3 linked regions of the Oryctolagus cuniculus genome follow. The protein of the gene in region 2 purifies or fractionates together with the protein of the main gene of each other region. This does not show direct contact. Links are inferred from orthologs where the notes say so. Each region holds a gene or a part of one and is shown on either strand. Other genes may lie near its edges.

Region 1 (3,646 bases), on a different chromosome or scaffold from region 2:
GGAGCAGCTGGGACTTGAACTTGTGCCCATGTGGGATGCTGGCATTGCCGGTGGTAGCCCAACCTGCTGTGCCACAATGCTGGTCCCAGTAACTTTTTTTGAGGTCTGATGGAAGTATTTGTGTCCAACCACCATAGCAGCACTGACATGGGTAAGAGAAGCAATGACTTAGTTTCTAACTGGATTGTATTTTCTTTTCTTTGTTCTCAGTATAACCCTCAGTTTGGAGATGCATTTTGGAATAGCAGTAAATACAATATGGTGAGCTACCTGCTTCGAATGATGACCAGCTGGGCCATCGTCTGCGACGTGTGGTACATGCCTCCCATGACCAGAGAGGTATTCCTTAGATAAAAGCTGCTCTCTGCTTTATCTAGTCAAATAACGGCTAGAAAACCCTTTTTTGTGAAAAAGAAAAAAGAAAAGAAAAATTTATTTATTTTGAAAGAGTTACAGAGCGAGAGGGAGAGACAGAAATCTTCCATCTACTGGTTCATTCCCTAGATGGCAACACCTGCCAGCATTGGGCCAAGCTGAATCCAGGAGCCGGGAGTTTCATCCGGGTCTCCCACGTGGGTGGCAGGCCCAAACACTTGAGCTATCTTCTGCTTTTCCCAGGCCATTAGCAAGGAGCTGGATCAGAAGTGGAGCAGCAGAGACCCGTATGGGATGCCACTATTGCAGGTGACGGCTTTGCCTGCTATGTCCCAGCTCCAGCCCTGGCTAGAAAACGTTTATCTGAAAACTAGGTGGCTCCTTTAGCACATCATGCCTTTCTGCTTTTTCAGCAGGTAAGTCACTTTTTAAGAACGTAACTAAGCAGTCTTCAAATCAGGCCATTTTGTGTTCAGATTCTTTTCCATAATAGCTTCATAATTGCTGTAGGCTTATAGAACCTGCAGACAGTGTAGAATCATTGAATAAAACTGATAAAGAGTTGGGGCCAGCACGGTGGTGTAGCAGATAAAGACCTCGCCTGTGATGCTGGTGTCCTGTATGGGCACCAGTTTGAGTCCCAGCTACTCCGCTCCTGATCCAGCTCTCTGTTAATGGCCTGGGAAAGCAATGCACACATGTAGGAGACCCAGAAGAAGCTTCTGGCCCAGTCAACTGGGGAATAAATCAACAGATGGAATCTCTCTCTCTCTTTCTCTCTTTCTCTCTGTAATTCTGACTTTCAAATAAATAAATTAATCTTAAAAAAAACTAATACATAATGAATATGTGCACATGATAAATACAACAGTGAGTTTGCCTGATAGAACAGATATTTGCTATGATTGAGCTAAATGTGAATTTATATCTTCAGACAAACATGAATGATGACAAGTGAATCTTAAGTTATTATTTATACACTGTACACCCAGGATGAACTTGTAATTCTTGTTGTTTTTGATTAGGAAGGAGAAGATGCAGTTCAGTTTGCGAATAGGGTGAAGTCTGCTATTGCTGTACAAGGAGGGCTGACTGAACTACCCTGGTAAGAGATTTTTCAGAAGTACTATCACTTGTTGTTGTTTTTTTAATGAAAAATTTCCCACCATTAACAATGTCATCTGTTTTGCTATGAATTTAGCTGAATGTGACAATGTTTTATAGGAAACAACAGTGGCTTAAATAAGAAAGAAATTCTGTCTCACCCAAGCATTGACAGTTCAGGCTGGTATAGGTGCTGTTTTGCTGTGCCATTAATTTCTACAGTGAAAACTGTTTCTGAAATTCATTATGCTAACTAACAAAGCCTGGGAAGTTGAGGGGGCCCCCCCGAAAGGCTTCTAAAGCCTTGTAGTGGCACCCCCTGGAGGGTGGCCTTCTGATTGGGTGCTGGCTGACTGTGTGGGAGGTCGGGGGTACTGTGTGAGTTCTTGACTTAGGACATCTGTCTAGCCCTAATGTATACAATAAGACTAACATTGGTAAGCTGGGATACATTAAATCAAATGACAAGCCACATAACATCCTAAAATTACAAGCTTCCCTTAGCCTGCAAATGTCCTATTGATTCATTTTCCTACATGTAACTGGTTTCTTCTACCTGGTTAATTTTTTTTAAAGATTTTATTTATTTATTTGAGAGAGACAGTTGCAGATAGAGAGAGAGAGAGACAGAAAGAAAAGTCTTCTATTCACTGGTTCATCCCCAAATGGCCACAATGGCCAGAGCTAGGTCAGGTTGAAGGCAGGAACCTGGAACTCCATCTGGGCCTCCCAGATGGGTAACAGTGGCTCAAGCACTTGGAACATCTGCTGCTGCTTTTGCAGGTGCGTTATCAGGGAGCTGGAATGGAAGTGGAGCAGCTGAGACTCAAACCCTTACTCATATGGAGTGTCAGTGTCACAGGCAGCAGCTTAACCTGCTATACCACAGCCCTAGCTCCTTAGTTTCCCTTTTTTTTTAAAAAAAAAAAAAAGGAAAATCATCCCACTGCTTTTCTAGATGTATGTGTCATCTACCTGTTGGACATGAATTAGCATGGCTAGAAAGATTTTTTTAAAAAAATGATGAATTAATTGTTTGATCGTAAAGTGGCTCTTATATCTAAGTTCCTTAAGATCTGCTGCCAGTGCAAAGGGGTGTTGGGTAAAATGTTGACATCTGTGGGGGTGGCAAGGCACAGTTGGGGTGTTTAGACCAGCAAGAGGTTTGCTGAGTCCTTGGGAAGAACTGTACACAACTGGTGTCAAGATGCTCAAAGACAAAAGCAAAACGAAAGCTTCTAGCTTACGGTGTTCGCCTGCTCTTGACCTGGACTCAGGAAATGAGAAAGGCCTTTCTTGTCTCGCCCTCCCTTCCTTCCTTAGTTCTCAGTGTTCAGGATTCATGTCTGCGCAATCCATAGCTTGAAGTATCTCATTTGGATAAAAGAGGCTGGCGTGGGTAATTCCTGGGACCTGATGACAATTTGTGATCTTGTTTCATGAACTCTTCCCACAGCTGAGTCCCTGGATAATTTGTATCTACAGTCTTTTTTTTTTTTTTTAAAGATTTATGTATTTATTTATTTGAAAGGCAGTGTGTGTGTGTGTGTGTGAGAGAGAGAGAGAGAGAGAGAGAGCGAGAGAGAGAGAGAGAAAATCTCCCATCCTCCACTGGTTCACTCTCCAAATGACCACAGTGGCCAGAGCTATGCCAATATGAAGTCAGGAGCCAGGATCTTCTTCTTCTGGGGGCCTCCCACGTGGGTGCAGGGGACCAAGCACTTGGGCCATCTTTTACTGCTTTCCCAGGTGCATTAGCAGGGAACTGGATTGGAAGTAGAGCAGCCAGGACTTGAATGGTGTCCATATGGGATGCCAACGCTGCTTTACCCACTATGCCACAGTTTTAGCCTCAGTCTTTTTTTTTTTTCCTTTTCTTTTTATTTCTTCTACTGAGGGTTGTGCTGGGTCTGACTGTAGAAGACAGAACATTGTGTTGATCTCAGGCAGGCATCTGTATTGAGGTCAGGTTCTGTCCTTAGGGCACTGAGTTCACTGTGATCATTCATCATCATCAGAAAGGACTTGGTAAAAATTCACGCTGAACTGGGTTAAAATTAAACAGTCACAGTATAAGGTAAGCGTTCTCCTAGGAGTTACAATCTAAGGAGGGAGATAGTGGCCCCTGCTAGTTCAGTCTCCTCCCGGCTCCTCCAGTTGCTTTGTT
Region 2 (4,236 bases):
TGTAAGCTATAAAAATTGGATTTAAATCTAAAAATCCCTGCCATGGAACCTTGAGTGTTTTTCATGCATCAGACAATGCTGTAGATTTTTACTAATGTCATCTGCTCAGAAAGGACTTCAAACCTGCTCTGCATAGGAATGTATCAATATTTCCATGCATACATGTAGTAGTAAAGAATTAACATACTGTCCAAAAGAGATTGAGAAGTAAAAGTTTTTTGAGTTTTGGTAATCACCCAAGTCTTTCAGGTCCCTCACTCTAAGTCATGCTTTTTTGATTGTCTGGATCTAATCAAAGAGTTTAAAGGTTTAAAGGAATGTAAATTTATGTATTCATACACAATTTTCATTTTTTTTGATAGAAGAAGTATGTTTTCTAATGTGCATTCAGTAAAATTTGAACTGTGGTCATTGAGTAAGTTAACGATCATAAACATGGATTTTAGGTTTCAGTAACTATTTTTAGACATTTTAAATTTTCAATAACTGACAAGCAAGGCATCTCATGTGATTTTTGGGATCTCAAATACCTAAGGTATTCAATTCTGAAATTCTCTAGTATTTCTTATGTATTAGGTGACAAAGTATTAATCCCCTAGAACGTGTGTAAATATCTTTCTTAATTTCATTAAAATACATCTTGAGTTAACTATATTAGTAATTCTTGAATCGAGTTGCAATGTACAATTAGAAAAAGAAAAGCTGTCAACAAACGTTTAGGAGATAATCTCCCTTTAAAAGTATGCTAACTTCTGTTTTGCCTAATGAAGAGCGCATTGACGGTTTCACGTGGAGAGAAATAGTAAATTTCAACTTCAAGTTCGGTGGAATAATATATTTTATTCCAACAAATATGCATGGATCACTTATCATGCGGACAGGAGAGCAGCGACACAACAACACAATCGTCTGATGCTCAAATCCATCGAATTTAATATGACAGAAACATAGTCTCTAAGGAAAACTCAGTCCAGCACTAAGTATTTATTAAGTGCCTACAGCAAACCAAGCCCTGACAAAGTCTGTATCTCAGCCGCGTTCTTCAGCAATGAAACTGGGTGCGGTGAGCACAGAACAATTCCTCCCGAGCAAACACTCGGCCTCCAGCATCCCAGAAGAGCCAACGGGCACTGACAGGTAGAAAACGGACGAGGAGGCGCCACGCACAGCCCACGAAGCAAACCTGCCATCCATCCCACACTGCTTGGGTAGTGCGCGGCGACTAACACCGGCTCTACCTTTAAGAGCCGCGGGGAGAAAACCGCAGGACCCGAGGCTACAGTCGCAGCCTCATTTGCATAAGCACCCAAACACTGCTGACGTCACCGCGCCGAGTCGGGACCCCGCCCCGTTCTACTCCAGCCGCTCCCTGCGAGGCAGGAGGCTGCAAAGGGAAAGGGAGACGCTAGGGAGCGCGAGCCTGGAGCTCCGCGACCCTGCAGCGCACGGCACACGCCGCTGCTCTACTCCACGGGATGGCTTGCCCGCCCCTCGGCCGGTGCCCCTCGGTGGGTCACGTCTGCCTCCGGGATGCCTAGGCGTTGTGATGCATTTACCTTTCCAAAGCCAGTGCGCAAGTTCAGGCTGAGAAAGGATTTTCCCCCGTCTTTCCTGTATTCGCACGGACCAGACAAGGGAATGGAAGCTAGACACGATCTGGGTTTCCCATTCCTTCCCCATGCTCTCCTTAAAAATCCCAGTAGCGCCGCCCTCACCGCCCCGTTCTCCAATTCCAGGATGCGCAGAAACTCCCAAGCTGCGCGTTCCCCGGCAGCCACGTGCCTTGCGCGCAGCGAAGGGCCGGTGTTCATTCCTCGCATCCCGGGGAGCCTCCAGCGAAAGGGAGCCGGGGTCACGTGAAAACCCTCGCCTTCCGCAGTCGCCAAGGCTAGCAGAAGCGAATGGAGAGATGAGGCTGGCTTTCTCTCCCCGCCCCACCGCCCACCCGCTTGTGCATCGCCTTCCGATGCACCTCGGGAGCGCCTCTCTCCGCCCCGACCCTCCCAACTTTTCTCCTGGACTTCCTGGAGTTCAGACCCCACCCTTCCACGTCCTCTTTCACTCGGAAACCTGGAGGTCTCCGGGGACGCCGTGGGTCTTTTCCACCGCGGGAACGAAGGAAGGATGGCGGCACGTTTCGACCCATGTGCTTATGCACCCTCCCCACTCCCCATCGTGCACAGGTGCAGGACGCATAGCCCAGAGGGTCGCCCACAGAGCCCAGCCTCTCCCTCCCGTGGCCTCGGAGCCGCCTCCCCCCTCCCAGCCCAGGGAGGACCCAGGCTGAGTCCTTCCCTGGAGCCATCCATCAATGCTGCTCCTGGTCCCCAGCCCTCTGGCTCCGGGGCGGCTAACAGCGAGCCGCACCCCAAGCCTCACCGAGCCCCCTAGCAAAGGAGAGTGTCCTTACCGTGAGTGTGCCGTGACCCAGTGCCTCTCGCTGCTCCCACGTCCCGGCAGCAGCGACAGCAGCAGCAGCCGCCGCCAAAGGGTCGGGTCCAGGTATCTGAAGGAGGCCGCAAAGCAGTTGTGTGGAGAGGAGCGGCCGCTGGCCCAGGGCGGAACGGAGAAGCGGGGTTTCGGGAGGGTGGCTGCCCTGCGGGCTTGCTGGGGAGAGACTCGTGAGCCGCGGTGCGTCTGCTAGGGAACCAGCGCGGGAGGCAGGCGCGGAGCCGTGCGCGCGCCAGTGTGTGTGAGTGAGGGTGTGACGGAGGCACCCACGTGCCCGGCCCGCCCGACACGCTGCGGGCGGAGGGGGAGGCTGCGGGCGGCGGCGGCGGGGCGCACAGCAGGGCAGGGAGCGGGTCCGCCGGCTGCGCGCCGCCCATCCCCGCCCTGCTGCCACTTGACGCAGAAGCCACTGCGGCTGCCCTCCGCGTCCTCCCTGCGCCTGGGGCTGGGCCCGCGGGGTGCGGGGTGGGACCCAGGAAGCCCGCTGCAGAGCAGAACAAAACAAAGTCTCCCTGCCAGCCTGCCTTCCTCCAGCCCACACCACTCGAAGGATGGGCACCAGTTGCCGGTCCCCTCCCTGCTTTTGTCTGAACCAGCGTAACAATAGGAGTGGTCCTACCTCAAAGACTCTGGGTATTCTCAGAGAGTGGGTGACCCAAGAACTCGTCTCCCTGGCTTATTCCCTAGGCTGGCCGTTTACATATCTTGCCAAAGAAAAGCATCTTGGACATTTGCGTCTTGATCAAGAGGTGGCCCGATGGTGCTCAGCGATTCTGCCTAGCCCAGGAAAGTGTGCTTAGGGAGCTGCCGTCCACCCTGGGTTGTTCTCTGAGCGCCCACTCTTCCCCAAGGGCTCCCTTTGTAAGATGAAGCCTGACTCACCTCTGCTGACAGTGGAGGCATGCTCACAATTAAGCCACCTGGAGAACTCAAATACACCTCTCAGGAACACAAAGCCTAGCCTCTATCTGCAAATGGCTGAACTGCTCCTAACCTGAGCGTGTGCTGTGGGGATGAAGGTCTCTCTCTTTGAGAGTTTAAAAATTTGGGAGAAATACAATGGCCCTACAGCATATAGAAGAAAATTTCAGTGACTTTTTCTTCCAGATGATTGGTCATCCCATTAAAAAATACCTCAGTGCACTTTGCGGCCTTCCAACAATCTCTTAGATTTTGAGTCTGTATCCAATTAAGATTGAATTAAATAATAAGGCTTTAGCGGACAGGTTTTTCATGCAGTAAAAAAAAAAAAATCTCCTGGAAAGAAATCACAAGACCTAAATTTCAGGTCAGAACATTGGTGCTAATCCTTAGTTTTTAAAGCAGCCAAGAGAGCTTTGACTCAGCCTCTTTTCCATTTCTACCTTTTAAAAATTAAGAATTAAAAATAAGAGTGTATTCCTTCCATGGTTGGCCATCGCCTACCAAGGGAAATGAATGCTTTTTTGACAGATGAACCACAGCAAAAAGTAAAAAGTCACAATAAACCTCTTAGAGAACATCTTACATAATTTGCTTCTTACTTCACCTGTTGGTGGAAGGCAAATACTTATGTAGATTCACACCATTTAATTTATATTGAAATCAAAATGCAGTACAATTATCACCTATATAAACTGAGAGGGATTTAAGAAAATAGGTAAAGCCTTGACCTCCATCATCAGGGTTAGATTTGTCTTCAAGAAACCAAGTTATCCACACACTTGCTGGAATGATTCCACACAATCCCAGGAAGAACTATGCAAAAAGTATTCCCCTCTTAAGTTTTTCACTGAGGTTTGACCA
Region 3 (3,646 bases), on a different chromosome or scaffold from region 2:
GACAGGAACAGAGGGTCGGGTTTTGGAGGGGGATCTACACACACACACACACACACACACACACACACCGTCTGTGACCCTGGATGCCGAATTTCCACTAACGCCCTCAGGGCAGCACTAAATGGTTCATGCCAACCACATTCTGGTGTCACTCGGCATCTCCAACACCTGGGCTGTCGGCCTCTAGGGGGCGCTATTCTGAATCTCTGAATCCTGTCTGACACCATTCCTTTTGTTTGATTCTTCCCATCCTTCCCTTCTTTAAAATTTCTTATTTAAAGGCCTACTCTTCCCTCTAGTGGATGACCGAGAAATTTCCTTTTCAGTAGGTTTTTCTTTCTTTTTAAGAAAACAGCCCATCTCAGGTCAACGCAACCTTTTCTGGATAGACCCAATCAGGACGAGAGGGGGCTCCTGGGGACCCCTTCTCCTTGGCACCCCCAGCTACCAACACTACTTAATAAGTGAAGGAATCAGCAAAAAATAAACTAATTTTGAGATTCTTTTAGAAGTACTTAAAGCAACTTGACAACATCAAGATAAAATGAAACCAGCAGTTCTGTACTGTATGCTTATCACGGGCAGGACTTAGCAACGGAGGGAACAATGAACTGCGCTGAAGTTAGATTTACTTGTAGGAAAGGACTACAAGTTCCTATTCTGTTTCTATTTAGACACACGAATTATTCATTTACCTACTTTAAGAACAAAACATCTTCAAGATAAAGCATGAGTTCTTCTAATCTTTCAAAATGGGTCGCCCAGATAGCGGCGAGGGCAGCCACGGGAGCGAGCGAGCGAGCAAGCGAGCACTGCCCTCCGCGACAGGCTTACTCACCATGTAGATGATGACAAACACCCGGGCCACGGGGTACCTCCGCAGGAAGATTCCCAGGCGGATGCTGTGGGAGAAGGGAGGGTTACACTCCACACGAAGCCTCCAACTGCGGGAAGTTCACCCACTCCCACTATCTGTGTGGCCTCCCCAGAACGATTTTTCTAGAATACTGTTAAATGGTGACTTCAAATAACCGCGTAGAAATGCCGGAGTGGTAGGCAAATCCTTGGCTCGTGACTGAGGCACCGTGGAGCTCAGAACTTGAGCACGAGGTGTTTCCCTTCATGCTCGGGCCACAACCACAAGGCACCTCTCTCAATCATTTTTCTTTCAGGAACTGAAGAAGTTGTGAGGGATAGGGTGGATGTTAAACACGTGAACGGGAGGGACAGTCCTGGCCGGCGCTGACGTGCGGACAGCTGACCTGCAAGCTTCCACGTGGCTATGAAGCTGCAGAAACTTGGGGAGGCTCGAGTGAGCACCTGGAGGAACAGCAGCTCGGGCAGACCCCGACCACGCCCTTCCGAGGTGGATAACTGTACAAGAAAATGCACCTTTCTACTGCTGCTTTCCCTGCCACGGACACGACGTCCTACACACAGGCTCTCCAACAATCGTGCCATACGCTGAACTAAATGATCCATTAAGAGGTGAGTAACACGGAGACAGTGGCTCTGGGAACCCAGGCTCGAGGCCTCAGGGGTCTGACTGTACGAGTCTAGGTGCTGATCACCAGTAAAAAAGATCACCATTATGTGGTAGTTCATTCAAACTGTGTTTAATTAAACACTAGAAAGAACAACTAGTAGAGTAGGTTATTTAAAACACGAACTTCATCAAGGCTATGGGTAAACTGTTAGAACATAACCTTGATAAGGCAAATTTTTGCTAGTTTAAAAACGTATATATAAAGGTAGATAACGTGTAAGCTGTTTATTTCTGTAGCATCTATAAAAGATACAGTAAAAGGAGAAGAGTCCAGTGACGCATGAGCACGGAGGCTCTGTTATTCCAACCCTGTGGCAGAGTGCTAGGCTAAAACACCCACAGGAGCGCTCTCACAGGAGGCGGAGGCTGTCCCGATGAAATTTACTGAGTTTGTTGCAGAAAGAACAGAAATGGCCGCGGTTAATCATCTTCAGTCAAACGCAGGCACTCGCGGAGCTCCTGAAGCCACCGCGTGACACTGACATATCATACACAGAGCAAGATGAATGTCACCCCACACACCAACACCTGCTGCAGGGCTCACACCACTGCAACCACGGGAAAACCTGTAAGAACAGCAGCCACCACCACTCCTCCGGCAGGCACTGCTTACCTAAACTGGTCGATGGAGCTGGCGGCTTTGCGAACTTTTCCATACATTCCTGCCAGGTTAGTCTCTGTGTCATTAAAAAGAACAGGAACATTTCGCAGACGTGTGCCTGTTTAAGTAAGAAAATAAATGAATGTACTGACACCAAAGTCAACTTTCTACAAAAGTGACGGCTGGAAATACACTCGGCCACAAGTGGAAGAAATTCTCACGGCCGACTTTCTAAGCACTGGCCCCAAAGATGAAGCCAGGTAACTCTGGTTAGACAAAATGTTTGAACTTCTATTTCTACAAAAATAAAACCTTAAAAATTAAGAAAACAATTTTAGCAAAAATGAAAGAGAGAACAAATGCCAGGTGTTGGTCAAGAGTCAGTGTCAACGGCCCTTCCATTGCCCTAACTGGACAGCAGCGGAGCCCTCCACGAGGTGGGGACCCCCAAAGCGCGCCTCCCACCCTGACTCCCTGCACGTTCCAGACTCATCTTTTTTTTTTTTTTTTTTTTTTGACAGGCAGAGTGGACAGTGAGAGAGAGAGACAAAGAGAAAGGTCTTCCTTTGCTGTTGGTTCACCCTCCAATGGCCGCCGTGGCCGGCGCACCGCGCTGATCCGAAGGCAGGAGCCAGGTGCTTCTCCTGGTCTCCCATGGGGTGCAGGGCCCAAGCACTTGAGCCATCCTCCACTGCACTCCCGGGCCACAGCAGAGAGCTGGCCTGGAAGAGGGGCAACTGGGACAGAATCCGGCGCCCCGACCGAGACTAGAACCTGGTGTGCTGGTGCTGCAAGGCGGAGGATTAGCCTAGTGAGCCGCAGCGCCGGCCCAGACTTATCTTCTTTTCAAGCACAAACCCTCTGTCTGTAGTTTGTCCCAGTCCCGTTCAGATGACACTCAGCTGAGGTTCCCTGTGCTGTCCGTTACCTTCGCCGCTGTCCACGCCAGGCATGTGGATGGAGGAGCCGCCGCTGGAGCTGCCCGGGGCCACGCTCATCTGCTGCTCCAGGCGCTCCAGCTGGAAGACCAGCGCGTTCTTCTCGGTGCTCAGGCTCTCCAGCATGGTCTGCTTCTGGATCAGGGTCTCCGTGAGCTGGCGGAGGCGGTTCTCCAACTCGGACTGGCTGCTGTGGCTCAGGGCTTTATTGGTGAGCTGCAAGGCCAAGTGTCCGTCCGATTATTGTAGAGGAGAGAAGCCGTGCTACACGGAAATCACATCACTGCACTCTCACAGGTCACTGTGGCATTCACTGATTTCTCTAACTCGGTAACGGTTCGTCCACTGTCCACAGAAGTGAGTTCAGACTGAACCCGTGAGTCACAAAACCAATTTGCTGGGCCAGAAGTCAGCTTTAAAACCAGAACAGAACGGGATTTTTTTTTTTTTTTTTTTTTTTTTTGGACAGGCAGAGTGGACAGTGAGAGAGAGACAGAAAGAATGGTCTTCCTTTTTTCGGTTGGTTCACCCTCCAATGGCCACTGAGGTCGGCGTACCACG

The links. Proteins that work in one complex are often made in the same cells at the same time.
Region 1: the proteins of SLC6A15 (region 2) and GPAT3 purify together in Homo sapiens (co-immunoprecipitation; 3 studies listed by BioGRID and IntAct, counting the BioPlex papers as one, with this or other methods). This does not show direct contact. The link is inferred for Oryctolagus cuniculus from reciprocal best matches to the Homo sapiens genes SLC6A15 and GPAT3.
Region 3: the proteins of SLC6A15 (region 2) and GOLGA5 purify together in Homo sapiens (co-immunoprecipitation; 3 studies listed by BioGRID and IntAct, counting the BioPlex papers as one, with this or other methods). This does not show direct contact. The link is inferred for Oryctolagus cuniculus from reciprocal best matches to the Homo sapiens genes SLC6A15 and GOLGA5.

What each region holds. Positions count from the first base shown.
Region 1 is NC_091439.1:78,655,843-78,659,488, forward strand, and holds part of GPAT3 (glycerol-3-phosphate acyltransferase 3), read left to right. Parts: intron 1-210; coding exon 211-339; intron 340-1,400; coding exon 1,401-1,480; intron 1,481-3,646. UniProt on the Homo sapiens protein: Converts glycerol-3-phosphate to 1-acyl-sn-glycerol-3-phosphate (lysophosphatidic acid or LPA) by incorporating an acyl moiety at the sn-1 position of the glycerol backbone.
Region 2 is NC_091442.1:87,730,344-87,734,579, forward strand, and holds the start of SLC6A15 (sodium-dependent neutral amino acid transporter B(0)AT2), read right to left. Parts: upstream 2,838-4,236; 5' UTR 2,411-2,837; intron 1-2,410.
Region 3 is NC_091451.1:37,907,900-37,911,545, reverse strand, and holds part of GOLGA5 (golgin subfamily A member 5), read right to left. Parts: intron 3,302-3,646; coding exon 3,076-3,301; intron 2,266-3,075; coding exon 2,160-2,265; intron 903-2,159; coding exon 839-902; intron 1-838. UniProt on the Homo sapiens protein: Involved in maintaining Golgi structure. Stimulates the formation of Golgi stacks and ribbons. Involved in intra-Golgi retrograde transport.